Schizosaccharomyces pombe: one gene and its partners. The protein of the gene in region 2 purifies or fractionates together with the protein of the main gene of each other region. This does not show direct contact. Each region holds a gene or a part of one and is shown on either strand. Other genes may lie near its edges. The genes, in order: alp6, mto1 and myp2.

Evidence for each region.
Region 1: the proteins of mto1 (region 2) and alp6 purify together in Schizosaccharomyces pombe (affinity purification with western blotting; 2 studies listed by BioGRID, with this or other methods). This does not show direct contact.
Region 3: the proteins of mto1 (region 2) and myp2 purify together in Schizosaccharomyces pombe (affinity purification with western blotting, with the first as the bait; one study listed by BioGRID). This does not show direct contact.

What each region holds. Positions count from the first base shown.
Region 1 is NC_003423.3:476,382-485,828, forward strand, and holds alp6 (gamma tubulin complex GCP3 subunit Alp6), read right to left. Parts: upstream 7,448-9,447; 5' UTR 7,326-7,447; coding exon 7,198-7,325; exon of another isoform or gene 7,159-7,197; coding exon 7,097-7,158; exon of another isoform or gene 7,057-7,096; coding exon 5,225-7,056; exon of another isoform or gene 5,172-5,224; coding exon 4,695-5,171; 3' UTR 4,567-4,694; downstream 1-4,566. Other genes in the region: wpl1 (WAPL family protein), read right to left, coding at 1-139; DNA replication licensing factor Cdt1, read left to right, coding at 1,050-2,318; U3 snoRNP protein Utp15, read right to left, coding at 2,822-3,988, 4,198-4,515; Ctf18 RFC-like complex subunit Ctf18, read right to left, coding at 7,568-7,931, 7,981-8,111, 8,192-9,447.
Region 2 is NC_003421.2:1,678,000-1,687,809, forward strand, and holds mto1 (gamma tubulin complex linker Mto1), read right to left. Parts: upstream 5,273-9,810; coding exon 1,925-5,272; 3' UTR 1,762-1,924; downstream 1-1,761. Other genes in the region: mug27 (protein kinase Mug27/Slk1), read right to left, coding at 1-287, 330-779, 829-1,437; tef3 (translation elongation factor eEF3), read left to right, coding at 7,667-9,810. UniProt on the Schizosaccharomyces pombe protein: Spindle pole body (SPB) component that acts as the gamma-tubulin complex-binding protein of the SPB outer plaque.
Region 3 is NC_003424.3:2,545,450-2,557,240, forward strand, and holds myp2 (Myo3-like myosin II heavy chain myp2), read right to left. Parts: upstream 8,255-11,791; 5' UTR 8,217-8,254; coding exon 1,902-8,216; 3' UTR 1,811-1,901; downstream 1-1,810. Other genes in the region: vacuolar serine protease Isp6, read left to right, coding at 1-1,304; SPOM_SPAC4A8.06C (esterase/lipase), read right to left, coding at 8,564-10,300; lcb4 (sphinganine kinase), read right to left, coding at 11,324-11,791. UniProt on the Schizosaccharomyces pombe protein: Stabilizes the F-actin cables forming the F-actin ring that surrounds the nucleus during interphase. May work in conjunction with myo2.

The DNA of each region.
Region 1 (9,447 bases), on a different chromosome or scaffold from region 2:
GTTTAGACACGGTCTGTCCTGGCGAGCGCTTTTGCTTGTTTAACTCTGAAACTGTCACGTCTAAAAAGTTCCAAACTTCCGATTCCGAAGAAATTCTCTTCAAACCATTATCTTTTTCCTTACATTTTCCTCTTTTCATTTCAAGGTTTCTTCAATCCGCCTGGCTTGACATCGATTCTTTACAAAAATGGAGGAACACGGTCGTACCAACTCACAATGTAGCTTGTCGAGTGAGTGAAAACCTTCGAAAATAGAGCTTAATAACTTCTTGAGCAAAGAAAAAAGAAAATAGGGTCCTTGATGAGAAATTCGTTTTTTATACTCAGTAATTTTAGAATCGTTTTTCTATTTGTACTTGGTTGATTTCAATCGGTCCTTATAGATATTTGAGTCACATTGTTACTCTACCCAGTATAAATAGAAAAGACTTAGTCGATAGAAATCATACAGGGCATCTTTTTATTCATTTATTATAGCAACTTATCCACTGATAGTAAAAAAGTTAACTAAAAGTTTTGAATTCGTACAACTTATGGAAGACCATAAGTGGACGAGTGGCTATTTGACACAAGTTTGTTTTCAGAGAGCCTGAACTTGGTGCAACACCTTTATTATACAGAAATCATTGTGACATGTAACATATTATTGAAAATTTCGACAACGAACAACTCAATAATATCTCGCAGAGCAAAGGAGTTATTCAAAATTTATATAACGATGCATCCTGTAATAATTTTAAACTCGTATAAGAGATTCTATAAAAACTTCGGAAAATGAAAAGCTGTAGTTAAAAAATTGTTTTGTGAATTTTGTACAAGTGTTGGAACTTATTTATTCAATATAATCTACTGAATCATATAGGCTAAGTAAGACATAAACTGATTAGTCGGACAAATGTGAACTAGTTAGCAAGCGCGACACGATAGCTACGCGACGCGTCAACAAACGCGACACGCTCAAATTTAATATAACCCTCGATATAAATGAAATGTCGCGCCCTATATAGTCACGACAACAATATCCTTATTTTTGGATTTTGTGTTCAAATCATGAGCGCTGGATCGCAAACAAAATTGAACTTCTCTGTCCGTAAAACTCGATCCTCATCAAAAAGGTCGAATGCGGCCATTATTGAGCCACCCAAAAATCCTGAGGATTCTCAAATAATACCAGCTGTTAAAAGGCTGAAAGAGAACTTGGACACTGAGTCTTTAGAACAAAATGAGGTTTTACCCCCAGTTAAAAATGAATCAGTTCTTTTCTTAGAAAAGGTCTTTAATGCAGTCGACATATGTGTAAAATTTCACCTCTCCATCAATACCAAACCAACCTTTGTGCTGTTAGAAAATAAAGTCTCTGGTCTCACCAAAATCTCCTTAAAAATAACTCATCTCGCTCAGATTTTAACCGTATGGCCAGAGTCATTTGCTATTACCCCATGTTTTACTATTCATCAAGGAAAGCGTGTTGCAACATATGAACTGTCATACCCTCGCAATGCGAATCTTCCTGAAGCCTTCTCCCGCTCCATTGAATTTAAACGGAGACTAGAAAAATGGTTGTTAGAGCATTGTTCTGAAACTGAGATTCCTGCTCAACAGTTACAAGCTTTACCCAGTCTATCCAAGAATACTGTTAATGAAAGTTCACTAGTTCGAAAGCTCAATTTGGAGAAATCAACAAGTCGCGAGTTACGTATTCCCACACAAACTCTAGAACCAAAATTCACTACTAACACGGCAAAATATGCTAATGAGTTAGTCTCGTGTAGCATGCTTGACAGTTCGTCCACTTTGTCAAAGTCAGTGAATTCAAAAATCAATTTGAAATCCCATCAAAGTTCTTCATCTGTTCAAAATTCATCGCGTAAGCTAACATCATCTCAGTTAACTTTGAGACAATCTTCTCTGTTCGATCGCGTGCGTAAAAAGCAAAAAGCAATGGAAGCAAAAAAAGCTGAAGAATTTAAAAACAACCTAGTTGTTCATACTCTAGCAAAAGAAAAGGTCTCATTTGTCCGCATTATTGATCTCATTTTTGTTCAGCTTTCCACTTGGCCAACTAAACGATCTTTTTCTATGTCTGAAATTGTGACAAGCATGCAAATGTCGATATCATCAAGCTTATCACCTGACCAGTGTGCCAAAGCAATTGAGTTGCTTTCAAAAGCTTTGCCTGCTTGGTGCACTATCAATCTTCTTGGTAATATTCAAGTAGTCACATTCAGCAGGATTGTTAATGGGAAACCATACTTGCGATCCCAATTAATTGAAGAATTGCAAACAAAGGCTAGCATCACTATTCTTTCAAATTCTTAATTGTAGGCGATGTTTCGAATGACATGCCTAAGATCACCACTGCTGGCAGTGGTTTAACGTTTACTATCTTTTACGATCTATATAATTTCCATCACCAATATTATGATACTATGGAATCTTTCATTAATTTACTTTTGTTATTATGTTTTTGGTTGATTTACTCTTCTAGGTACATGAAATCCGGTTATCCTTTTTAACAAGCTACAAAATTACTTTTTTTTAATAAATAATTATTTCCTTTAAGACCACTTAACCTGCCATAAATCCCAAGTTTTTGTTTTTCTGCGAATACTTTAAATTAACACCCAAACATTGAATAAAATTTTTTGATATTTACCAATTCCAGCGGCAAAGGGTGGCAGTTATTGCTGTAATTAAAAATCTCAAATAAGGCGCCGTTTTTAATAAACAATCTGAGTGAATCATATCGATAATGTAAAGGTTGCTAGTTAGAACACACAAATTGAGGTATAACTCGCACATTAAGATATCATAATCATTGGTCAAGCAGACAACATCTGAAGCATACCAACCAACTCATTTGCCCTTTGAGTAACCGCTACTTCCTGCTCAACTTTTTCACGAAGCTTTGAAATTGCATTTTCCACCATTACGCTGCCCCCAAGAGCAGCTCCGTATATATCTAAAATGGTGCTAGTAACTATACATAAAGTTTCGGAGAAACGAGGGTCTCTTATATATTTTCTTAAGAAGTTTATCAAAGGAGTAAGAGATAAATCATCTCTGTTAGACAATGCAATCCGTAACCCTCCAACATGAAGAAGCTCAATAAGCATAGTTATGATAAGAACAGGTGATCCGTTCTCCAATACCATATCCAAAGCATCAGAGTAACAAAATGATTTTAAAGCTTTGTCGAAAGGACGAAGTCTTTTACGTCTAGCCTCTTCGACATAAAATTCATCGTTCTCGCCCTTATAGATTTGTTTCTTTTTACCTACTACACCAAAAGCACTTCCGACGCCCCCTAAGAAAGGAGTTTTTGAGCTCGTTTGCTTGGTTATACGTCGAGTCCGTTGCGATAATGTACCGTTCGACATACCCACAACTAAATTGCAGCTATCCGGAGAAAGTCCCATAGATAAAATAGGGCCAGAATATTTCATGCCATGGACAACTTTCCAATCGGAGATGTTATAAATTTTCACATGTCCGTCTAAACCACCACTCAAAAGTCTAGTATTCTCGGAGTTCATGGCAAGGCATGTGATACTCTTTTGATGATTAGACAGCTTCTTCGTAGGTGTTTGTCTTCCAGCCACTAAATCCCAAACTTTAATGGATGGTCCACCAGCTGAAATAACAGTGCTACCAGATTGCATTGGAAGCACAACGTCAATCGCTTCACCATGCGAAAAAGACATTACTTCTGGGTCCGCAATTCGAGTATCCCATAAACGAATTGTACCATCATATCCACCACTCACAAGTCTAGTAGCACTCATCCATGAAGCAGTACGAACATAATCTTCATGTCCAGAAAGATCATACTGAACGGCACCAGTTGACAAGTCCCAGACCTTTACAGTTTTGTCATCGGATCCAGAGAGAAACGTGGTATTGGCATAAGGACAAAATTGTGTAACATGAACTGGAAACTGATGAGCGTCTAAAGCACGCAAAATACTCCGAGTTGACAAATCAAATATCTGAAAGTACATTAGCAATCAATGGCAACAAGAAAACCTCTAAAGTAAGTTTAAAGCGTTGACAAACACCGGAAAAATGGTATTTTTTTAGCTATATACTAGCAAATGACAGCTTCAATCAGCTAAACTAAACTAACAAAATTCCATGTGCAGCTTATCAACGTTTTAATTGCAACTATCTTTCAAAGCTTTTGGTAATGTAGACTTACCTGTACAAGTCCTGTAGCATCTCCTGCAAGCAAAAGTTTTCCATCCTTTCTAATGTTACCAGAATATGCGGTATCCTTAAATCGAGCAATTGTTTTTTTAACAGACCTTGAACTAGCTCCATAAATTTGTACACGAGCCCCACTAGTTACTGCAAAGTCATAAGGGGATTCAGCGGAAAAATGAATACTAGTGATAGCACTATATTCCTTGGCAACGACAGGAACCTTGAATGACCGCCAAAATTTATTTTCAGCAGTAACGGGATTAGGTAAAGCAGCAAAACGCTGAGGTTGAAGTCTACCAGCAGGCGCGGACATGATATCCGTATATGTGGTTGCTGAAAAAAGTTAACCAAATGGGTGGGTGGTGTTGGTGGTTGGCAAAGGCAAATTAAACAGCACCGCTGAACGATAGTTAAATCACATTAAATATTAATAACTAAATTTATAGTTTACTACGAGTAATAAAAGTTTAAATAATCATGCATGAACCTCATTTATTGACTGGTAACATCCTTATCATGACGCCGTCTATGAGAAACGTAGAATTCGTTATAATTGAGACGAACGGAAAGAAAGCGCATTTCTGGGTCCTTATGGGAAGCTAATCCATGTAATAATTTTTGAAGTCGAACCTGGAATTCCTCAGTAAAATTTGAGAGTTCATTTTTTATAGGGGTGTATTGAGCTGCCAAAGCATCAGTCGAAATTGGTACATTAATGCGAATTCTATTCGACAGGGAGCAAGAAAAGTTATACAACAACTCAATTGCATCATGAAAGTTTAAGATAACTTTAAGTATATCATGAAGCTGATGAAGGAAGGAATCTTCATTCCTTGACTTACCACCACCCAACAAGCCCTTATGAGTTATACTAGTAACATATTTTTCATGTGCCTCTATATACGTATCCAATGTAGCGTTTGGTTTCTCCATAGCAAGCTGTAATTCTTGCCAACTAATTTCGATAACCTGTTTCCAATGGTTAGTATACAATGCAAAATTGGGTTTTGGTTTTTCGTTACCTCAAAGAGTATATAATATTGAAGTTGACAAACAAAATGAATCATTTCCGCAAGATGACAACTGACAAAATGCCATTCGAATTTTGTGTAATCCAGATTTCTGAAGACATTTCGCTCGCCCAAATTTACTCGCCTCCAGGAATGGGCAAGGGCAAACTCAATTCGTTTCAACCTCCATAAAAAGTTAAATATTTTTAAGTATTGTCTAGAGCAATATGGTGTTATTATTACGTTGATAGGTGAATCAACTTTATACTCCAACGTAAAAACATCCCAACCAGTTTCACCATGTGAAAGCTCCAGAAGCCTAGCATCCAATCTTTTTAATACGTATTCAGGTTCATAAGATGCATTACTTGAACGAATGGCGCTTTCTAAAGAAGCAGTCAAATTGTGTCTGAACAAAGTATTAGCCGGCTGATCCAAAGAATTACCAAGGCTCTCCATTAATAAGTCCACAAAATCACCTTGTCCTAGTAAAAGGTATTTTTTGATAGCCTTTAAATGATCAGTCAAATGAAACACCTCTTCCATCAAGTATACTAAGTGATTAATGGACTCAGTATACGCCTTATCAACCACTGTTTCTAATGAATGAGGGTCTCTATAACTAAGTTTTTTCACTAGCTTCTGGTAATGCTCTTGTGCCCAGTCAAAATCACCACATCCATAACGTGCGAAGTTTAAACTCTTTCCAATCAAAAAGATTTTGTCGACAAGTTCTTCAGAAAGGAAACTTGGTATTAACTCTTTGTCTAAAAAATATTTACCTTTCCAGACGACATCACCTTGCCCTTGATGATCATGGCTTTCACTACCATTTTTTTCTTTAACAAAAAATTCTTGATAAGGGTCGACCAATTCTCCTTTATAAATCCAGTTTTCAATCATTTCGTATAAAGGTCCAGTAATTTCTGTTAGTATTTTATCACTCAATTCTTGTATTAGCGGATCTCCATGCACATTGTATTTCGAAACCACTTGAATCAATCTTTTTTTATTCTCCTGGTTCATATTATCATTAACAACTGAAGACAAAATTCTAAGTTTTAGCTTGGCAACTTGCGTCCAGGCAATGCAACGCCGGATAGTTACCATAGGCTTCTCAAGTGAAGCGTCTGCTCGAATTTGTGAATCCAGAGATGCAATTAACGCAAGGAAATTAGTCAGCTCTTTAGAAATGACCGATTTTAAACTTTGTAAAGCTAAAGACTGATCGTTTATAAATGCTTTACTAACGTTATCACCATCAATGGATTGACTGACCGAAGGATCATAATTGCTGAAAACCTTTAGTTCCTGATATAATAAGCCTGTCTCTGAAAGAGCTCGCATCTGTAAAAGGTATTGGACAGGTATTCTCTTAGACAACAGCGCTAATTCATTTTTAAACTGAACATATTCGGTAGAAATTCCTTGAAGTACGTAAGATATTGAAGACAACAAATCGGCTTCTGTAATCAAAGTATGTTGAACAGAAGAAGTTTCAGTACTACGGTTTAGCCTAGATGAATCATGAGCAATTGAGATAGAACTTTCATTTTCCAATCCTTCATCCCAATCAGTAATTTGGGGGTTTTCAGGAACTTGATCGTAACGTGTCTGACCAAAGTTTGAGGATTCCACTTCTGTTGATGGAATATTGATAGGATTGGAAATAGACTCATCTAATAAATGAGAGGAGACATCTCTTGATGACTGAGAAATAGGAGAGAGCAAGTATAAGAAATAGAGTATTTGAGATTTGTTGTGAATGACCGTTTGACTTTTCAAACGCGAAACTAAGTTAGATAATTTAGAAAATAAAGCATCATTGTTTTCTTCGGGGGGAACTAAAAAACTGTTAATTTTGGTATTTAGACCTTCACATACTTTTTGAATATATTTTGTACAGAATGTCATCAATGTCCAGTTGAAAAGTATCAGGAGAAATGCTAACAGTTAGCATGATCATTTACACGAAATTAGCTTACGAGTGAATTATTTCCTGAAAGAAAGACACGATCGTTTCAATTGTGTAAGGGACAGAAGGGTTTTTGGAGTTCTGTAAATACTTGTCCGCCAGACGTGATAATGCAGTTTTCACATGAATCTCCGACATTTGAGAACTTCAAATGACGAAAGTATTTTTTTTATTTTTGAATTAAAATAGAGAAATACAAGTATTGATCGTTAACTCAAAATCTTAAAGCCATTGACAAAGTACACGCCGAAGTCGCGGTCAGGAAATAATGGTTAGATGAATTTACGCATACACCTATTTTTACTAGTGATTTTTTTTTAAATTAAATGATTGATTTTATTTCAAAAAGATTGAAATTAAAAATATTAATGCACATTAGATTAGAAATTCAGAATCTCGTTCAACGATATTGGTTTTCTCACAGCATTGGAAAACCCATCGTGAAATTTGATATTGATTGCATGCTTGATGGAAACTGGATGATCTCCTGTATTCAAAGCTGCATTATTCGATGTAACTGCTTCAGATTTTGGTTCAGAAATGATACGGCCAAAAAAATCTCTCTTAATTGCTTTTCCGGAATTAAAATCTTTGCGCTTTCTTGAAGAATTCGAAGAAGTGGGGTTGTCCGTTAGGGTTTGTTTTTTAATGTCTGCGAGCCTTTTCTTGAGCAGTTCCTGAGATAGCATTTGACGAACAGAATATGAACTTGTAGGTGCGTCCCAAACCAATTCATCCAAAGGTCTGTCAACGTTAGCTATTACTAGAAAGAAATAAAAATATTGGAACTTACGGCTCAAGCCTATACACATAGTTGCCATCTCCAACGGGAAGCTGTTGGAAACGCAAATTATAATGATTTAAAATGTTAATCGCATGCTCAATTTTAGAAGGTAAAGCGCTCCTTGGCATAGAATCTTCTTTCTATAAAAAGTTAGTAAATTAAAAAAATATTGTTTCACGCAATTTTTTTTTTTTTTTTTTTTAAAATATATAGACCTTACCTGTTTTAGTGTAGGATTTATGGTAATTAAAATTGTACGGATAAGTTCCAAAAGAATTGATCTTTCTCCATGCATTTGATTTTCATAAGCATTTAGCGTCGATATGAATGAATCCAATATTTCTTTGCGAGTACGATAAAGTTTTAAAGCTTCCAAATCACTTCTGGGAGGATGCGGAAGGCGGCACTTTTCAGGAGTTGCATACAAATAATGAAAATGAATAATGGAATAAGGTATGTACCTCCATAACTCATAATTTCCCTTATAACATTGTGAATGAAGTTGGTCGAAAAAGTAAAGCCACTCGCTTGTCAAAGCAGGTTTAGAAAGTAAGCTATCAGTAAAAGGAAGATCTAAGTATGTATGAAAACAATTCATCAAGACTGATTCAGAATCATTAGCTCCATCAATCCTTGCAAGGAGGGCGTCCAAATGTGAGTAAGTAGGTTGCGATGCTTCAATTGCACGTATTTGTTTATTATCAAGTTGTAAAAAAAGAGATTGGATTAAACTAGAAGTACTAAAAGAATTACTTTTTGGTTGCAAAAGCTTTATGGTCTCAGAATCTATACGTTTGTTATTTAAAGACAAAAGTTGTAAACTGTTGATACAGCTTCGAATGTCAGAATTATAGATATCTGTCAGCAAAGTCAAAGAGCGGCTGTCAACAGCTATATTTTCATTTCGGCAAATAGTCCTTAAACGACCGACAAGAGATGCTTGAGGAGGTGGTCGAAAATATATTATTTGAGCATATGGTCGCAGAGGTCGAAGTGCTGGAGTATATAAGTCATTACAAATGCAAATAATGGGACGACAAAGTTTCTTAAACTTTTTCTTTTTCTTTGAATTACCAGCTTGAGAATACTCAGTCGCTTTTTCGTCACTCTCTAATAAACTCAAAAGTGCTCGTACGAATGCAGGATCACCTCCGTCAATTTCATCAACTATAACACATGTAGGTTGAGATGACAAGGCTGAATGATTGCTAATGGCAGAGGATACCTTTTCATGAACCGTATGAGCAGTACGATCATCACTAGCATTTATTTCCAAAACTTTGTATCCAGCCTGATGAGCAATAACATGAGCCAAAGTCGTTTTACCTGCACCTGCCAGTCCAGTCAGCATCATAATCCGTTTATCAGGTCTATCACTATCAGAAGTGATATTAGTAAATCTGGGGTTAAAACGCATACTCTTTGAGGGCTGTAATCGAGATTTTCCAAACACACAAGGATCCCAAGCTTTTATCC
Region 2 (9,810 bases):
GGTTCTGTTAGACACTTGGTGATGAAAGACCATGCCTCGTCTGAAACCGATCTCGCTTTTTTGTCGTAAATTCCATTTTCATTTTTGGAGGGTCTCTGCAACATTTCTCGCCAGTAGTATAGATTAGTCCACGTTTCTTGGAGCGTTGACCCAGAAAAGGGAGGATATCCTACCAGACATTCATAACATATGCAGCCAAGTGACCAGTAGTCTACGGTCCTATCGTATTTCTTTCCGTAAACAACTTCTGGAGCCATGTATTCAGGAGATCCAACAACGGAATTTACCTAATTTTTTTTTAGTTTACGTTTGAATCAAAATGTCTTTACCTTGTTCTCATTCTTTTCCAAAAGCGCTTTATAAATGTTTCTTCTTTGCTTTTGTGTTAAATAAGGTCTCTGAGGATTAACCGCGCTCACTAGTGCATGTTGAAGTCGATTTACCTGATTCGATGTAACAATTGCAGTACTTAGCCCAAAGTCACTAAGCTTGATATGTCCCTTTTGATCAATTAAAAAGTTCTCGGGCTTTAAATCACGATGCATATAACCTAGTTTGTGGACTGCACTGATTGCAGCGACCATTTCTGCTAGGTAAAATCGGGTTTGATTTTCATGCAAAAGCCCCTTGGTAGTCAAAAAAGTTCGAAAATCTCCTCCAGGGACGTATTCCATTGCTAGATATACTTTTTCCTTATCTTGAAAGGCATAATACAGTTTTACAAGCCATTCGGAATTAGTATTCGTTAGTATATCTCTTTCATTCAATATGTGTTTCACCTGAGCCGTTGTTAGTTTTCTTTTAAGATCTTTAATAGTGTCTTCTTACTTCATTAAGTTGCTGTAATGTTGATTTTTTCATCATTTTCATTGCTAACAATTCGTGTGTGTTGCGCTTTTTAGCAAGCCACACAGAACCATATCCTCCTTGTCCAAGCTTTACTAATAAATCGAAATGGCTACATTGAATCTTGGTTCTTTTTTTTCTCAAAAATGCTCTTTCCCTTCCACAATGCTCTTTCCATAGTCGCTTCTGTTTAGATTGTTTTAATGACGATGTACACGCTGTAAATTCTTCCAATCTTTCCTTCCTTAGTTTATGGTACTCAATTGTGCTAATATAGTAATTGAGGAAGAAAACTTGACAGGCCATCCGCTTTCTTCTTGTCTCGGGTCGACTAAGTATTTCAACTTCACTGGGCTTTAGTAATTGGTAGTAAGTTAAACCTTTAGGATCATTTCTTTTCGTCCAGCAATTTTGTCTTTCTTCGTTGAGCACCATGCGTTCATTTTTCGAAGACACACTTGCTGACGCATTTTCCCTGTCTCGTAAATAGCCGCTTGATAGTAAAAATAAATCAGAAAATTCGACTCCATTTTCTTTTGCCTTTGATACTAGTTTGTTATTGTCTAATTCTTTAAGGCCCAGTAGGTCCATTCTATGTTTGTGGAATCGTTCTATAAAATTGTCCCAAGTGAATTGCTTTTTCCATGCAATGGATTCTTTCCTTTTTTTGCTCCTATTCAAGTTTATGTGAGCTCAATTTTGAAATTTATTTTGAGTACACGTTGTGCCTGAATAAAACTCGATTCTCCCAGCAAATGTAAACAAACACCGGGTTCTGGGAATTTTTACAAAGATGATACATGCGCAGTAAAATTTACTTAAAAAAGGTTAAATAAAAAATTATATTTCGAATTCTTTTGCGCGATTAAAATAAATTTTTTTTACGAATATGTGTGATTATTTCCTTTATAATCAGGGAGATACAAACACCAAAATGGTTAATCGAGAACAAAAAAAAATAAAAAATAAATATAAATCTTGGAATTAGCTTATTTTGTCAATTAAATTCTCCAACTAAGTAGATATGTACTGGTGATTAAGAAAAGCTATATACTTCAACCGCAAACTATCCAGATTATTATTTATGTTCTTGTGATGATATAGAAGGAGACCTAGAATTGCTTTCTTTATCCGTTTTTATTTGCCTTGAAAGACTCCTGTTTTGTCGAATCAAATCTTGAAGCCTTTCTCTGGCACCCAACTTGTCTCTTTTACGACCTTCTTGCTCAGCCTTGAGTTGAAACTCCATCTCTCTTAGTCTCAACTGCCATATATGGCTCATTCCTTCAGCATCTCGTTTCAAAGCTGTGATACCTCTTTGAACTGCTGACTTATCTGGAGAAGCGGGAACAAGCTTTTTATCCTCGGAATCCAAACTAACGCGTTTTGAAGCCCTTGGCGAATTTGGAATAGATGAAGTTGACCCAGCGCCTAAAAGTTTCACTCGTTCTTCCAACTGTGATAAACGCTTACTTCTAGCCTCAAGTACACCATCAAGCTTCCTGAGTTCGGTCTTAAATTCCCGCTCCATTGATTGACACTTCCGTTTGAATTCTTGAATGGATTTGTCCAACTCCCTAAAATTCATATTTACTGCCTGATTCATGCTTGAAATTGTCGTCAATGCTTCAACGTTGGTATTTACAGGCTTACTTCCCGTATTCAGTTGGGTAAAACGAGTGACAATGTTTTTTATGAGGGAATTTCTTTCTTCCACTTGCTCTTTAAGGCGTTTTTCAGATGCTTGTAAAAGTTTAAGTTCTCTAGATTGACTCCTTTCAGAAGGACTGGAAGATCCAGAGAGGTTTCTTCTGAAAGCTTGTGAAGACAAATTTTCCAACTCTAATTGGATTGCTTTTTTGGATCGTCTTTCCGCATCCAGTAAGTTCTTTAACTCCTTCTTTTCAGACACTAACGTCTCCAAAGAGTTTGTTTTTTCTTTTAAACTTTGCTCACAATGGTAGATTTTTTTCATCAACTTATCAGTACCAGACTGATCCTTTTTATTCTCATCTTTTAGTTTTCTTATCTGTTGTACCAAATGGTTAACCGAGCAGTGGGTGACCTGTTTATCAAATGTTTCCATAATAGCATTCTGCAAAGAATCGAAATTTTCGCGAAGGGTAACGTATTGATTATTTCTTTCCTCAATCTCACTTTTTAAAGAAGAGTTTGATGACAATATACCTTCAAATTCACGAAGTTTTTTATTTAATGAATCTAATTCGTCATTGTGCCTTTCCTTCAAGTTGCTAAGATAATCGGCTAACGATTCTTTACTCGTTGTAACGCTTTCCATTTCAGTTTTTAACTGACTAAGTTGATCATTTAACGACTCAATTTGCTCATTGAGTAAAAGTTTGTTATCGTTACTTTTCACCAGCTCGCTTTCTTTCAAAGCAATTACTTGCTTGTTTTCTTCATTTTCCTTCCTTAAAGAATCAACTTCTGCTTCTGTCATTTTCAACTGTTCAAGAAGATTTGATGTCTTTGAAGTTGAATCTTCCTTCGCTTTATTATTTTCTTCTTCCAAAGTTTGCAGCCGCTTTTGTAATTCGTCAAATTCATGGCATTTATCGTTATAACGTTCTGACAATTGGGTAATTTCATCAGTAAGCTTTTCAACCTCTTCTTTGAATAAAGAGATACTCTCCTCATTTTCCCGTATTGTTTTCTCGAATTTCTCAATTTCACGCTCTGCTTCAGTCCTAAGTTTACCTACTACTTCTTCGTAATCATCAGACTCTTTTGAAGACTTTGACAGCACCTCTTTGGTATCCTGGAGTTCTTGGGTAATCTCTTCGACATATTCCTGGAGTTGGTCAACATCTTCCCGCCATTGTTGCTCCATTCTCATCAATTTATTTTCATAATCCTCTTCAATATCTTGCAACTGTTTATATAAACGAGTAAGTTCAATTGATTGCTCTTGGGTTTTCATTCTAGATACCATCATAGAATCCCACAATTCATTCTTGCTTGATTCTGCCTCTACAATCGCATTCATCTTCCCTGAATTCAAAGCAACGGTAAGCTCCTCCACTTGTTTAACCAGGCGATCATTTTCCTGCTTGCGAAGTAGTAATGCTTCATTTTGCATAGATATGTCCATCCTCAACAGTTCATTACTACGCTGAAGTGTTTCAATAACACGCTCATCAGTATTTTTTGCAGGCATAGGAACTTTTTTGGATAACTGTACGCGAAGGGATTCCAACTCTTGCAATAGAGCTTCCTTTTCCCGCCGTTCGTTATCAAGCATATTTGACAGTACATTACGATCTTCATTGTATGCCCCAACAGAATAATTCGTCTTCTTTGATTTTTCTTTTCTCAAAGCCGCAAACGCTCTTTTGGTAGTTTCAAGCTCTGAAAGAGCCTGCGAATACCTCGATTGAAGAGTAATTAGGTTTGAAGGGGCCGGGCTGGGGGTGGAAAGGTTAAAAGACTGATCAGGCTTAATCCGGCTTTCTAATCCAGATATTTTTTTCTCATAGCCTGCAACGGCTCGTTGAAGCTCCATAGTAAGGGTCTTCAAATCGATGTTTTGCTTCATAATATCTTGAACCTCCTGATCGTGGAATTTATTTAATTGATCGTATAGAAAGTAGCATTTCAGTTTCAACCCAAACACTTCCTTTCTCAAATTATCAATCACGTTTGCTTGTTCCTTTAAAGTTAAGGAGGAGCCGGGCTGAGATTCCTCAAACTCTTTGGCAAGTGCATTTTTCCTGTCTTTTAGGTCTTTCATAGCAGACGCCGGTATCAATATATCGGAGATCTTTTTGCTTAAAGCATTGGTAGTGGGGGCATCTTGAGAATGTAAATAATTTCGTTCTTCTTTTATTGGGGTTAATTGCAAATCATCTTCATCATCCAAATGAGGTAACTGATCTAGAGAAGAAGAGATATAGTTCGGACTTGAAGGGTCCGAAGTATAATCGTAATTATTGTAACTATCTTCTTCATACTGCTCTTGGCTCTGAAACCCTTGATTAGCCGTAAGTACGGGAGAAAGCTGTTCATCATCAGTAGTAATGTTGTCATTGAGACGATCAAAATTCGTAGTATCCAAAAAAAAAGGTGCAACAGAACTATTTCCCTCCTCGTCCTCGCTATTCAATTTATTGACTGATTCATCGGGAGATTGAAGCGGAGTAGAGCTCGTTGGAGCAGTAGCATTTTGATGGAGACGAGGTGATCCAGAATCAGATTTTAAAGAATCTCTATCAATTTCAAAATCATACTTATGAGAAGCTTCTTCCGAATCTTCGTCTTTTGATGTAGAAGAGGGTAATTGCCGAGATCCTTCCTTTCTGGGTGATAAAATGCGACGAACTTCCTCGTCCGTCAGCGAAAGACCAGCTAAATTATCCACTAGAACATTAAAGTTATTACTATCTAACTCACTGGAATTTTCTTCCATAATTGATTAGAAAACGAACTTCGACATAAGCAAATCCAAAGCAGTAGGCATTGACTCTTGTAACAATTTCAAAGGAGCGATTTTTGAATAAGAAATTAATTCTTTCTTAAATTGTTAATTGTTAAAAGAAAGTATGGGATCGAAGATATGCCTATTGATACGCTATGGCATATATGTAGTGGCAGTAGTTCTCAATGGCTGTCTCTACTTGACGCATGTTAGACTAACGATCAACAAAGTAGTAGACTTGTAATTGCGGACTTTACAATTTTAGAAGGTTTAATGTTTGTGTTAGAAGCAGATATTTTCAAAAGAAGTTAATGAAATTAATTATACATTTGCACACACTCGTTTACATTATAAATAGCCATGTTATTTGGCATGCCTATGGCACATACACAAAACAATAGTACATACATTGATGATATGTAAAACGTAACTATGATTTTCATTAGATTAACTCTCCTCAAGTTAAGGTATGTTAACCTCATTTCACACTGTGAATCCTAAGTATATTAATTATTGATGGAATAAACGTTAAAAACACTAAAGTCCGCTACGATTATGCTTGAGTACATAGGTTTTCACGAACAAGCGTAAATTTGCTTTCCTACGTATAGTTGGTATGTAGCCTGAAATTATTTGTTTCAGTCTCTATTTTCACCGTGTTACATGATGCTACATTTCGATGATTTCAATCGCAACGGTAAATTGAACTATGAATATACGAACAAATATACTTTTCATTAAGAGAACATTTTTAATTTGCATAGTGTGTTCGAAACTTGAATTGAGTGAATGCGAAAATAAAGTCCTCTACAACTCATCAACTTGAGATATGTAGAGCAGCTGAAAAAAAATAATAATAAATAAATAAGTATATGTAAATTAATTTATCTAAGTAAATTAAGTTAATACTACTCAGTATTTTTTTTAATACAACAAAGAAAAGCATTCTTTCTATTAAGCGAAGGATTTTTTTTTTTTTTAAATCAATTACAATCATCACTTACTAGAATGAACCAACTAGTTGAAAACTTTCTTTTCTTTTCAATTTTTTTTTTTATTCAAGCTGATCATTGATCTGATATGTTTTCTTCAAACATTAATTCCATGAAATTGTTTAAAAAAATTTGCGAAAAAAAAAGTTGACAGGTATGTAAATATTACTAATATAGATTATTACAAAATAAAAGAGAAACTTGGCATCATCACTCGCTCTACATAATTTTTATTAAGTAAAAATGGTAATACATAAAAACTGCTTCAAACTCGTCAGTTACGTACTCTGCTAAATCGGTTAAGGTGTCAGCAATATTACATACGCTGCGATACACAACGCTGAATATCACTATATGCTACATATTCTAATTATACCATAGATGATACGATATTACGATTGTTCCTAATGAAATTATAATAAGTTCTATACTATCTGAATAATGCAAATGGAAGCACAATTGAAATGAAGAACGAGGATCAGTTATACGCTATATTAGTGATAGGTAAAAATATAACCTGTATAACAGAATAACTATACCCCAGTTGCGACCTTTATGACCCGCGTATTGCAATATGAATGATTATAAATATGTATTAAGATATTTGTAATAATGTAATACATTACTATGAATGCACTTAAATTAACTCGCGAATGAACTCATAAACGGAGTTCATTTGAGTTTACTTATAGAAATTCAATGAAGGATATATCTATATTCACCTTATATAAATGATGCGGGTATATAACGATCCAATATACAATCATTACAGTTCTGACTCTGAAAATATGATGTCCGACAGCAGCTATCTGAATGCGATTATGCCGACCCTATGCTAAATTCATTTAGTGCTACTGCATCATGTTATGCGACCAAAACCATATTATTGCCAGAGGTCATTTAGCCACGGAAAGCTTACAAGCAACATATGTTGAAAAGAAGAGTTACAGCGTCAAAAATCGTTCTTAACAACGCAGTGTGGTATTAGTTTAACGAGACATAAGGACCGCGTCGATTTGTTCATGGCATGCTTTATCTATAGTGATATCTTTAATATAGCCTTACATTTACAATGATATCGTCATACAAAGGACGCCGCCACTAAACACGTTATTTTATTTAGCGACTTCTAATTTTGCCGCTTAATAGTTTTTCCACGTCGCTAACCACTAAACACCGCCAAAGAAACCGTGGATTATGGCCACCACCAAGAAGAAAACCAAAGAAAAAGAACAGTCACATTGTAAATATGAGATTTAAATACATAAAAACATATTATTATTTTATTTTAAGTACTCCTTCTGTATTTTCTTAGTTGCAAAATTTTCATTAAGAAAATCCATTCATATACAACCAGGACCTCCGCTCATCTACCAACAACCATTTCCCCGGGATGTCTGCAAAGAGTGAGAATAAGCAGTCAGTCAAAGCTCTTGAAGAGTTGTTGAAGCACCTTACTGTCTGCGATGCCGCAGAGGAAGCTGATGCTGCCAAGGCTTTGGCTTCTTTTGTCAACGGACCCATCGAAGAGCAAGACGCGCCTTCTCAAGTTTTCTCTGCTATTTCCAAGCAGTTGAACGACAAGAACGCCACTGCTCGTGAGCGTGTCTTGAAGGGTCTTGAGGCCGTTGCCAACCATGGTAGTGTTGCCGCTGATGTCGAGCCTTACTTGGTCGAGTTGTTGCCCGCCGTCATCGCCAAGGTTGCTGACAAGCAAAACGCTGTCAGAGATGCTGCCATTGCTGCTTCTAAGGCTATTGTCCGTTGCACTACCCCTTATGCCGTCAAGGCCATCGTCCCCTCTGTTCTCGAGTCCATCCACACCACTGGTAAGTGGAATGAGAAGATGAACTCTTTGCAACTTTTGGATGTTCTCGTTGAGGTTGCTCCTTCCCAATTATCCTACTCCCTTCCTCAAATTATCCCTGTTGTTTCCGAGTCCATGTGGGATACCAAGGCTGAGGTTAAGAAGCAATCCAAGGAAACCATGACCAAGGTCTGTACTTTGATTGCCAACGCCGATATTGACCGTTTCATTCCTGAGCTTATCAACTGTATTGCTCACCCCGAGGAGGTCCCTGAGACTATTCACTCTTTGGGTGCCACTACTTTCGTTACTGAAGTCCAGGCCCCCACTTTGTCTATCATGGTCCCCTTGTTGGCCCGTGGTTTGAATGAGCGTTCCACTCCCATTAAGCGTAAGACTGCTGTCATTATTGACAACATGTCCAAGCTTGTCGAGGATCCTCAAGTCGTCGCTCCTTTCTTGCCCAAGCTTTTGCCTGGTTTGTACCACATCAAGGACACCATTGGTGACCCTGAATGTCGTTCCGTTGTTCAACGTGCCATCACCACTTTAGAGCGTGTTGGTAACGTTGTTGACGGTAAGATCCCTGAGGTTTCTACCGCCGCCAACCCTGAAGTTTGTCTCGAAACTTTGAAGGCTGTTCTCGGTGAGATCAAGGTCCCCACCAACGAGGAGGTTATTGCTAAGTACGTTGCTAACATTGCTGCCCAACTCGTTGAAGAGAAGGATAACGAAAATGAGTCCTGGGTTCTCAACATCACTCCTTACTTGACTGCCTTCATTGACGAGGCCCACATTCACAAGATCGTTGAGCAACTCCGTACCCGCTCTATCGCCAAGATTCCTGGTGGTGCTTCTCATGCTGAGGAGGAAGAGGAGGGTGAGGATCTTTGCAACTGTGAGTTCTCTCTTGCTTATGGTGCCAAGATTCTTCTTAACCGTACTCGTCTCCGTCTTAAGCGTGGTCGTCGTTATGGTCTTTGCGGTCCTAACGGTTCCGGTAAGTCTACCCTTATGCGTGCCATTGTCAACGGTCAAGTTGAAGGTTTCCCTACTCATCTCCGTACCGTCTACGTTGAGCACGATATCGACGAGTCTGAAGCCGACACTCCTTCCGTCGATTTCATTCTCCAAGATCCCGCTGTCCCCATCAAGGACCGTGATGAAATTGTCAAGGCTTTGAAGGAGAACTCTTTCACCGATGAACTCATTAACATGCCTATCGGTTCCCTTTCTGGTGGTTGGAAGATGAAATTGGCTCTTACCCGTGCTATGTTCAAGAACCCCGATATTCTTTTGCTTGATGAGCCTACCAACCATCTTGACGTTGTCAATGTTGCCTGGTTGGAGAACTTTTTGGTTAACCAAAAGGATGTTTCTTCCATCATTGTCTCTCACGACTCTGGTTTCTTGGACCACGTTGTTCAAGCCATTATCCACTACGAGCGTTTCAAGCTTCGTAAGTATCTTGGTAACATGTCCGAGTTCGTTAAGAAGGTTCCTTCCGCCAAGTCCTACTATGAGTTGGGTGCCTCCGAAATGGAATTCAAATTCCCTGAACCCGGTTTCTTGGAAGGTGTTAAGACCAAGCAACGTGCTATCATCAAGGTCCAACACATGTCTTTCCAATACCCTGGTACCTCAAAGCCTCAATTGAACGACATTTCTTTCCAAGTTTCTCTCTCTTCTCGTATTGCCGTTATTGGTCCCAACGGTGCCGGTAAATCTAC
Region 3 (11,791 bases), on a different chromosome or scaffold from region 2:
ACATTGCCCATGCTGGTATCCGTCCTGAGCTCGATAACGCTTTCTACGACTCCCACGGCGAAGCCGCTACCCCTAAGCACAAACCTCATGCTGGTCCTAATGCCGCTCCTCTCTTGTCTGCTTCCAACGCCGATACCACTGGACTGGACTCTCACTATATCATTGTTTTGCAGCCTGATTTGAGCGAACAAGAATTCCAAGCCCATACTAATTGGGTCTCGGAGATGCACCAAATGGACATTGCTTCTCAAGAAGATGAGTACTACGATACTAGTGATAGTAATTACATGTTTGGCTTGAAGCATGTTTATGACTTTGGCGAGGACTCTTTCAAAGGTTATTCTGGTCAATTCAGCTCTAACATTGTTGAGCAAATTCGCTTGCATCCTCATGTCATCGCCGTCGAGCGTGATCAAGTTGTCAGCATTAAGAAACTTGAAACTCAAAGTGGCGCTCCTTGGGGACTTGCTCGCATCTCTCACAAATCCGTCAAATACGATGATATTGGCAAATATGTTTACGATTCCAGCGCTGGTGACAACATCACCGCTTATGTTGTAGATACCGGTGTAAGCATTCATCATGTTGAGTTCGAAGGTCGCGCTTCTTGGGGTGCAACCATTCCCTCTGGTGATGTTGATGAGGATAACAATGGTCATGGTACGCATGTTGCTGGTACCATTGCTAGCCGTGCTTATGGTGTTGCAAAGAAGGCTGAAATCGTTGCTGTCAAGGTTCTCCGTTCCAGTGGATCTGGTACCATGGCTGATGTGATTGCCGGTGTTGAGTGGACTGTTCGTCATCACAAATCGTCCGGCAAGAAAACCTCTGTTGGCAACATGTCTCTTGGTGGCGGCAACAGCTTTGTTTTGGATATGGCTGTTGATTCTGCCGTTACCAACGGTGTTATTTATGCCGTTGCTGCTGGAAATGAGTATGATGACGCTTGCTATTCATCTCCTGCTGCTTCTAAGAAAGCCATCACCGTTGGCGCTTCCACTATAAACGACCAAATGGCCTACTTCTCTAACTATGGTAGCTGTGTTGACATCTTCGCTCCTGGACTTAACATTTTGTCTACATGGATCGGTTCAAATACTAGTACTAACACCATCTCTGGTACTTCTATGGCAACCCCTCATGTTGCAGGTTTGTCCGCTTACTACCTTGGCCTACACCCTGCTGCCAGCGCTAGCGAAGTTAAAGATGCTATCATTAAGATGGGTATTCACGATGTACTCTTGTCTATTCCTGTTGGTAGCAGCACTATTAACCTTCTCGCTTTCAATGGTGCTCAAGAATAGATTTTACTTCATGTTGGATGCATTCGATGTTTTCAATAAGTCGGTGTTTGATTTTCAATACATCGAGTAATTGTTTTATTTTTTTGAAAACGTTTGCTCCTTTTATGATTGTTCTTTACAAACAGTTTATAATGATTGTTATGACAATAAATATTTTATAATGCAAGCCACTGAATCACGTTTAGAATTTTTATACTTGAATGAAATTTTTTTGTGATGTTCTTCCAACTTACAATGTTAAAGTGTAATTGTAAATGTCCTCTTCTTTTATTTGTATTTGTATTTATATTTGTGCCGCTGTTATGCAAGAGCTCTTCTACATTTAATATCGCCGCCTATCTCTTCATAGTTTTCTTTTACAATGTGATTGCTGCATATAACCATTGTACAAATAATAGGGGTAAAATAAAAAGTAAACCGAACTAAAATGCCTTTTACTTGACCGACTTACTTTTTTTTTTGAACTAAAGTATCCTTGTGGTTACTTGTTACGTTGACGCAGAGCATAATAATAGTAATAATAAAATAATTTTAAATTCATGAACTAATAATTTACATCATCTTAAAAAATACATGTCGAGTCTTTGGGAAGCTTGGCTACCTTAGAACGCTAGGCGAACGATTGGACCTCATGGATAATCTACTTTCACTTCTCTTTACTCTTTGACCCTCCAGCAAAGATCTATATTTATCAAAATCGGTTTCCAAACTTTTGACGCGTTCACGCTCTTCTTGAAGAGCATGTTCCGTCCGACGTAGTGCAAATTTCCATTGTGTTTCTGAAGCTTGCACATCTTCTAATTGATTTCTCAGTTGCGCATTTCTTTCCTCCAAACGAGAAACTGAGCTCTGTATTCTCTTTTTATCATCATCAAATTTTGATATTTGAGCTTCCAGTTGACGGATAGTCCTATCGCGATTGCGACATTCATCAATTCCTTTAATTCGTTCGATGTCGGAAGCAGCAAACGATGCTTCCAAATCTGATATTTGCTTTTGTAGCATTCGGACGTCCTTTGATGTTGATATGGGATAAGTTTTAAGATCTAAATCAAACAATTTGAGCTCCAAATCCTTTTTCTCCTTTTGTAAAACTCCGAGTTGACGATGCAGTTGAAGATTTTCTTCTCGATGATTATTACTATCTTTTTGAGTTTTTAGCGCAAACATTTCGATCTGTTTTATGCGTTCAACTAATGATGATAGTAAGTCATCTTTTTGAGCAAGGTTACTCTTGAGTGTTAATACCTCTTTCTCCATTTCAATTTCATCAAAAGGTCTTGCAGAACTATCGAATTTTTTGTTCAATTGCTCTGAAACTTCGTGAAGTTTTCGCTCAAGGTTTCGATTTTCTCTTAAAAGGGTATCTTGATCTTTTCTTAATGTCTGGTTTGCTTCTCGTACTTCTTGGAGTTGTGCAGTCAAAGAAAGAAGTTGGCTTTGGGCATTTTGTTGCGCTGTTGAGGAAGAATTATTGACACGAGAAAGAGATTGTAAGTCTGCTTGAAGTATTGAATTTTCTTTTAACAAATTTGTCTTTTCCAAAACTAATTCGTCAAATTTGGTACGGATATCACCAATTTCCGCATGCATGTGCCGATTATCTTGTCTAATGCGCAAGTTCTTCTCACGTTCTTCTTCCAACTGTACTTTGAAACCATTTAGCTCCTTTTGATAACGTTGAAAGAGTAGTTGATCCTTCTTTTCTCGTTCCTCGAGATCTTGAACACGAATGACATGAAACTCATCAATTTGTTTCATCAGTTTTTCTTTTTGCAGCAGCAAAGTATTATAATCGTTGCTCTTTTCAACGTAAAGAACTTCATACTCCTTTTGTTTCACGACAGCATCTGCCAGTTCGTTTTGCAGATCAGCATTTGTTGTTTGAAATCCGCGAGCGAGTTCTTCAACTTCCTGTAAACGCCCGGTAAGATAATTTTTAGACCTTTCAGCTTTAGAAAGTGAAGATTCTGCATGCTCATTGAGTGACTGGACCATCGCAAGCTGTTCGCGGTACTTGTTAACTGTAGAAGTAAGCTCCTTTATCTTCATTATATTAACTTCTTCTTGCAACCACTCGGTTTCTTCTTCTCCAGAATAATTAGTTATACTACCATCAAAATTGGGAATTATTAATTGAGAAGCAGTGGGAGCCTTTAAAGGAGATGTAGGAACAGAAGGTCCTTGCAACCCATGAAGCAAACGATCTCTTTCCTTGGTTATCTCTCTTAAAGCTTTTTCCGTTGAAAACAGCTTTTCTTCGCTTGCCGAATATAACTTTGCAATAGCTCGCTTCGATGATATTGCCTTTTCCACAAAACCTTTGATTTGGTTTCTAGTATTATTTGGAACATCTTCAAGTAATGGAGCAAAATCAAGCATTTTATCATCACTGCCTAAATTACTAGTAGTTAAGTTTTTAAGTTCCTCATTTTCTTTTAACAAAGATTGTATAAGTTCCGAAAATTTTGATAGATCTTTGTTATCTAAGATTCCAGACTTTGTAGCTTCCTTTAACTTCAAATTGATTTTTTCAAACTCTGTTTGAAGCACGGAATTCCGTTGATTAACGATAAAGGGATCAGGAATACTACTATTTTGATCAAAATTTCTAATCAGTGCTTCCATTTTGCCAGATCTCTTTGAAGGTGAGCCGGGTTGAGAAGAGGGTAAATTGCTGATTTTGCTTGGAGACAAAGGTTTCAGCCCAGTAAATTCCATATTAGATTCAGGATTATAAAGCTTTTTCTGCAATGATGATATTAAACCACTTTGAGCATCAGAATTAGGATTGCTTAATAGCTTCCGAGAATTCATGATAGCTTGAGTATCTTTAAAAATGTCCGGGGAAGGTCTGTCAGAATTTGATGCATTGAGACGTTCCTTTAATTCTGATAAAGTACTCAACCCTTTTTCAAGCTTCCTAATAGAGTTTGGTATGTGTCCCGAAATGTCAGTAAAAGATAAATCCTTAGAGAGGGAATACAGATTGCTAAGTTCTTCTTCAACGGTTAGTTGCAAAGCATCAAGGCTTTTACTAATTGTTTTCAATAATTTATTGTCAATTTTTCGATCATCGTTATTACCATCAATGCGTTTTAGAGGATCACCTGAATGTTTCTCTTCAAATGATGGATGTGGAGAATTTCCATCTAAAGTGTGTTGTGTAACTGACCGATTTTCTGTTTTTTGTTTTAATAGCCCAACTTTACACCTTTCCTTCTGAAGCTGATTCAGTAAATCTGAAATTTTATGTTCATAACGGCTTTTTATACCTTGGAAGTCTATGAAATCACTAGCATTCTTCTCCAAAACACCATTTGTATCTTTCAAATCCAGATTATCAGCATTTAAAGAGATAATTTCAGTTTCCTGATCCTGAATTTGGTATTTTAAGGCCTCAATTATATCACATAGTTCAGAATTTTTTCTACGAAGCTTTTCTTCAGTCGCTATACTTTGCTCAAGCATCTCACTTATCTCTTTAATCCGTTCAGATAACTGGTTTGCTTCTTTCGTATGTAATGATTTAAGCTCTTGAACATCCTTCAAAATTGAAAGCGTGGTCGAAGAAGTAGAATAAATATTCTCATCACTGTTTAAGGGGCCACTTTTTACATCATTAATGTTATGAGTTTTCTCAGGATTTTGAAAAGCTTTATGAAGTTGATCTCTGTATTCCGTGATTTCCTTCTGAAAGATAACTAACTCGGCTTCCTTCTTATTCAATTCACTTTCTGTTTCTGAGTATTTGGAAACAAGACTTGCTAATTGAGATTCGTAAGTACGACATTGGTCTTTTAAGCTTGCGTTTTCTTCCCTTAATTCTTGAACCTTTGTATCATAACTTCGTTGCTTTAATAGTAACTCATCATCAAGTCTCATGAGTTTCTCATTCAATTCGCGAATATTTAAATTCTTTTCGTTAATAGCCTTTTCAAGATTTGATAAATGCTGCGAACTATGTTGATAATCCGCCATGATATTCAGATAGTCTTTCTCAAGCTCTTTATATTTAGAAGAAATCGTTTGCTCGTCCTTCTTAATTGAAGACAGCTTTTTCTCCAATGTAGATGATAAATCGGAAAGATAAGAAATTTCTGTCTGTTTGTTGGCAAGGTCCTCCTCTATGCTTTGCTTCTCTGCATACAAAAACTCATATTTTTCATCAGCAATAGTTACTTGATTTTCCAAACTTGACAGTCTCTCATGAACAACTTCAACCCGGCTATTGGCTCTTTCTACCAAAATGTCCTTTTCATGTGCCAGAGCTTGTTCCTCTTGCAAATCGTTAGTCAATTGTAAGACTCGTTCTTTGGTAATAGTTAATTCGTTTGCAACTTCCTTGGTACTTTCCAATTGATTCTGTAAATTATTTATGAGTGCGTCTTTTCTTCTTAAATACTCATCAGTCTGGGTTGTTCCCAATAACGGTTTAAGATGCAGAAAAAGATTCCACCAAGGATGTGGCTTCAATAACTTCAACTGCCTCAAGTTATGCTGTAGAAGGATAGCTGCATCTTGCCTATGATTAAACCGGTAAAGTCTCCGTCTTGTCAAAAACCCACGAATGCGAGCTGAAAATGAATTAAATATCACCCGCAGTAAAGCGTTTCTGCGATCCTCTAAAGAACCCAAGACACTGGCTTTAAAAAATACCTTTGTTTCACCCAAACGGTATACGGTACTAGGTAATTTTAATTCATTGATGATCGTTATTGTTGCCTTTTTTGCTTCGACATATCCTCTCTTTAATGACTGCGAAAGAATCCCATAACGAGCTCTAAATTCTGTATAAAATAGTTTGTTTGGAAATCCAGTTTGAGCAATTCTAATACCCTCCAGTACACCGTTGCATCGAAGTTGATGAAGAACGAGAGATTTATCCAAATTGTGAGGCTGCTTCAAATTGTTTGGAATAATGCATCTGACAAAGTGAGGCTGAGTTGCTTCGAGTTGGTGCATAAGACTAGAAAGCTGTCTCCTATGACGCTGCGACACAGTACGAAAGATTCCTTTCTTTTCAATGTTATCTCGACCACTAGCATTTGACGAATAATCATCAAAAAGAGAAGACACATGACTGTTAGTAGATTTGAACATTAGTGCGGCAAGACATGCATTTAGAGGATCTTTGTTTTTCTCCAGCCAATCTTTGGTATCATATTCGACATCACCAGCATAATGTTTTAAAACAAAGCCTTCACTAGAAAACTTTTTAGGACGGTATATATCGGATTTACCCTTAAAAAGAAGGTGAAGTTTTTCTGTGAATGTAGCATCAGTAGCCATTGGCATAACACAATCCTCGTCGAGGCAAGAAAAAATACCAATGGGCTCAGATTTTTCGATAGCATCTATGGTGGGCTGCAAATCATTTCCGTAGTCAATAAAATCCCATTCGATGCGTTCTTGTGTATATTCTTCTTGTTCCAGAACGAACATGTAATGATTAAAGAATTGCTGAAGCTTTTCATTTGTAAAATTAATACAGAGTTGCTCAAAACTATTAAAAGTGAAAATTTCAAACCCAGCAATATCTAAAACCCCAATGAACCCATCATGTTCAGACTGAGAATAATACATAGTCTGATTCAGACGTTTCACTAAATGCGCAAAATTACGCTCATAAAGGCCTTTGGCTAAGGATTGTAGTGTATGGACTACTTGTTCACGTGTTCTTGCCGTCACAATCCATTCTCGTCCAGCTTTGGACTTTGGGTGTAAAGCTGCATTAACAAATCCATCAACAGGGATTTCGAGTAAATGGCATAATTGATCAATTTGCGTTAAGGAAGGAAATCTAGCTTGCCCCGAACGATCAGATGCTACTTCAATATTTCCTATATGAAGAATTGAAGCTATAATTAAGAACAAACTGTGAATTTCGTTATTATCAAACCCCAAAGTTCTGAGACCAAAGCATAATTTTTGAAATTCTTTGCCATCATCGACTCCATTAATATGCTTGAGACCATTTTTTAAATATGAGTAATGGTCAACATATCGATCAAGGAAAAGACTTTCAAGCAATGATCCATCAGCACCTCGAAGTAGTTGATAAAAGACGTGATAATTGCGTTCATTGGAGGAAGGATGTATAACGCGAGATTTTTCCAAAAGGTACCAGTCTAAATTCGCTCCAACGATGCTTCCATTATTAGAAAATTCAATTCGTATGAACTTGCCAAAGCGGGATGAGTTGTTATTCCGGACAGTCTGAGCATTCCCAAAAGCCTCCAACACAGGATTCGTTTCAAGGATTTTCTTCTCCAACTGTTGAGAATCGCTTGTGGAAGCATCAGTGACCGATGTTAGGTACTGAATAACCTTTTTAGTAGTTTCAGTTTTTCCAGCTCCTGATTCACCAGTAACTAAAATAGATTGATTGATCCTCCTTTCTAATAAACTTCGATATGCGGCATCAGCTGTTCCAAAAATATGGGGTTTAGTTTCTTTAAACTGTTTAGATTGGTATTTTCGCACAACATCATCGCCATAAATTGGTAAATGACAATAGGGGTTTACAGCAACGAGAAACAAGCCTGAATAGGTATATATTAAATCTTTCTCATAACGCTGAGTAAGGTTGTTAACTACTGATGGTTCGTTGAGACATGTCAACGCAGCCATGTCATCAACCATATCAAACTTCGGTGGATTTACTTTTTCAGCATCAAATCCATCCACAATTCTTTCCGAGCCATCTCTTTCTAATTTCACCCTATATTTTTCTCCTAAATCTTCAACTATCCAAGCTTTCACGAATGATTCCTTCGAATCAGGAATCCAGATCCATGTCCGTTCATCAAAAGACGCGTCTTTCACGGCATTGCAATGTTTTTCAGCATCTACTAGCTTTTTGATAATATTATTGTTGTCGTTAGAGCCATTTTTTGAAAGATACGACATTAAATTAAGAAGTATAACACATTGGCAATGCTGCAGCTGTATAAATCATGACTGCGCAGCAATGTAAATATTTATGAATGTTACTATGGCAACGAAATACAAATGGATTGTTTACAATACTATGTAAGAGAATACTTATAAATGGTTAAACAATAAATTATACCTGTTAAAATGTAGTAAGCCAGTCGTCTTTTGCCAGGATATTAGGCACGTATGTGGATATCCCTTAGTAATCTTCTGATAAAATAAATAAGTTGAAGTAAAGTGAATAACTAAAGAACTCAACTTCAACGAAAAAGGAAATCGAGAAGAGATAAAATAAAAGAATGAAAACAAGTCTCAGGCAATTATTGTTTTTTTTCGGGGCTAATTTTACAGTTAGCTACCAAGGCAGAAAGTGGAGGATTTTCCCCTTCCATCGTATACTCTTTGGGCTTGACTAAATACCCATTTAAATCGGCGTGTTTAAATTCAGCGAAGTACCGTGCTGGCTTTTTAGTGTCTTTACTGAGCAAGATTAATTCAACGTCAATCCAGCGAATGAGTGCTTTCACCTGTATAGTACCTAAAGCACTTTTCGGTAAATTTAAACATTGAATTTCATCTTTAGGCTCCATCAATCGTTCCTCACCATTTCGCGAAATTCTTAAACGAACCATATCTTCATTAGCATGAGACGGATTACCATCAAGGTGTTTATTAGGCGATACAAAAGACGAATCATGCTGCTTTAAACACCAATAAGCAAAATTAGCAGCACGTCGGACCATAATCCCAGCTTCTTTTACAAAAGGAAGAGCTGTAACGACATGACAACAATCATCGTACATTTCCAAACGAACCTTTGTACGCTTACCATTGTATACGTCTGTATTCATTTTGTGAGCGATGTACACTATTTCGTCTCGTAAGCGTTCGCCCGATCCACCCAGAACAAGTGACGGCGGTAAACCACCAAGGTTTTCAGTGAAGATAGGACTGATCAGAGGATGCTTTAAATTTGCATTAGAGGTATAAAACTGTACTTGAAAAGGAAATGTAGTCAAAATGTTAGGGTCTAAACGAGAGTCCACATTGTCAAAATCAATACGTGCATGTTCTTTATCCATCTCTTGCAACACGGGGATCAAATTTTTGATGGTCTGAATTTTTTTACGTATGCTGTTTTCAATAAAGTTAGTCAATTCTTGTTTCTTGGAATAATTTAGTAATTCCTTTTCGGATATCGTTGAGAAAGAATCTAAGTTAGTAATGGGCCAATATCTGCTGGCTCGGTGATGAAATCCTTCGCTTGGAATATAGTCAGCAGCATCATCTGCAACTACAGAAGGAAGACTATGAGTCAAATCAACCCAAGGGGAATCATAAACTACTCCAGCAGGTAAGGGTAATTTTGAATCTCTAATCAAAACTAGTGATGCAACGATTAAACCAGCACCTGAGCTATCGCCCATAAATATTATATTTTCTGGCTTGGTGCTTTTAAGTAGATACAAATAAGATGAAAGTACATCATGCAAAGAGCAAGGAAAGGGAAATTGCGGTGCTAACCGCAGATCTGGAGCAAAGGTTCTAGCACCCAGAGCTGCAGTATGACGCTGAATATGATAAGCATTAGTACGAACAGTACTTAAATAATGAGCACCTCCATGAACATAAAAAATAACTTTATCACATTTGAGATTGTGCCTTATATGATGTCGCCTTTCAATCCACCAGGATTTTAAAGGTGACTTTCGATAAAGCCACCAGTTTGAGCCCCCAAATTGTTTAATGCCTTCTGGTCCCAAATAGTTTCGAATGTAAGAAGCAGAATCTGATTCTGACTTTGAATCTATAGGTTGTGATGTAAATTTAAACTTAAACTCATCCGTTAAGCTCCTTGAGCAAAAATCTTGAACAACTTCTACTTTATAATCCCTGCTATCAATTAAAAATTTTTTTAAAATCGACACTCCCAAATCAAGCATGAAAGTTCTATTCTTGCGTAACTCATGATGAGCCAGGAAACGGAATGCTTGACTAAACGTTTTAGATATTCCATCATTAATTGATTCGACAGTTAACTGCTCCTTTTTCAGCATTGTCTAAAAAATAACGGTTTTTTAGCAAAAAATCGCATAGATTTATTTTTTAACTCTATTAGAAGGATAATGATACAAAAGTATTAAAAAGAACAAAAAATGCTGCCAAAGAGAAGCATAACATTTAAAAGAGACGTTGTATTTATATTAATTCATAAATGCTGCAACTCTTGGCCTTACTACAGAGTAATGCTCTCGCGATTGTTAGTTTTATACTATGCAAAAAATGCTTCGGCCTTCAGTAAAACTCACTAAATTGTTTTTGACGAGCTTTACAACTAAGATGGGTATGTTTACATTATTTAGCTGTAAGTTAAATTTACTTATTTTTTTTGTTTCCAATAGTTTGACTGGTAAGTATTCATCATATTTTAATATCTATATATGCAGATTATCTATGCCCACCAGAACAAAACGCATTATACGAGGTATAAATTTGAAACACAATAAACTGGCGCTGGACACGAGTAACTTCTTCTAATGCACTTCATAATATTATGAGTATCATCATATGAATAGGAGTTTTTAAGCCTGTTTTATTATCCGTCGTATAAGCAATGTAATGAAGACATAAATGTTTAATAAACAAATTCTGATAACGTATAATTGACTACCTCTAATTCGACTATTGAACAATTAAAACCTGAAGTACAAAATGATTAGTGATAAATCCAGTGCATCGCAACACCACTAAACGTGCTAACGAACAGGAATAGAAGTGTACTTCTTCAGTCTACGATAACGTTTTGTAATTTCCTAATTTGCAAATTAGGATGGGCGAAAGTACAAAGAAAAAGAATACTTAATGCTCTTGCTTTTGTTCGGAATCTTTCTAAATGTCGTATATAAATTCGGAGGAAAAGAACTCTTAGTTCGCTGTTTATTAAATACAATTAAACGAAATTAAAACAAGTCTAAAATTATAGAGCCTAAGCGTGGCTTAATTACAGAAAACTAATTAATTAATGAAAACCCCAATAAGTTGGACAAATTGAAAAAAAAAAAAAAACCACTCGCTGTTGCTTATATATCCAACAATTGAAACCCTGCAACAGGAGATAAAGTAGTTCCTAATTTTGGAGCCACGCGACATTCAAATGGTTCCAATGGGTAACTTTCACCATCTAAAGCAAAATAATGACGCTTTCCCGTATTAACAGGAGTAAATCGAAAAGAACGAACTTTGTAATAGTTTAAATGCTTAGAGTAATAAAAACCTCCATTATCGAGTTGAGTAAACATACTCAATAAAGATTTACGAAATTGTTTAGAATAAACAATTACAACATCGATTAAGCCGTCATCGTTGCTAGCTGCAGGGAACATTTTTGCATCAGGTGCGATATACGGAAGTAACCCAGCACAAAAGATTGAAAGATCATTGATTTCAAAGGTCAATAAATGTGATTCAGGACTCGTCGAAACCGTTTTATCGCTATCGCTTGATTCAGACATCGGTGCTAAGTTTTTACTTTTCTCATACATGTGTTT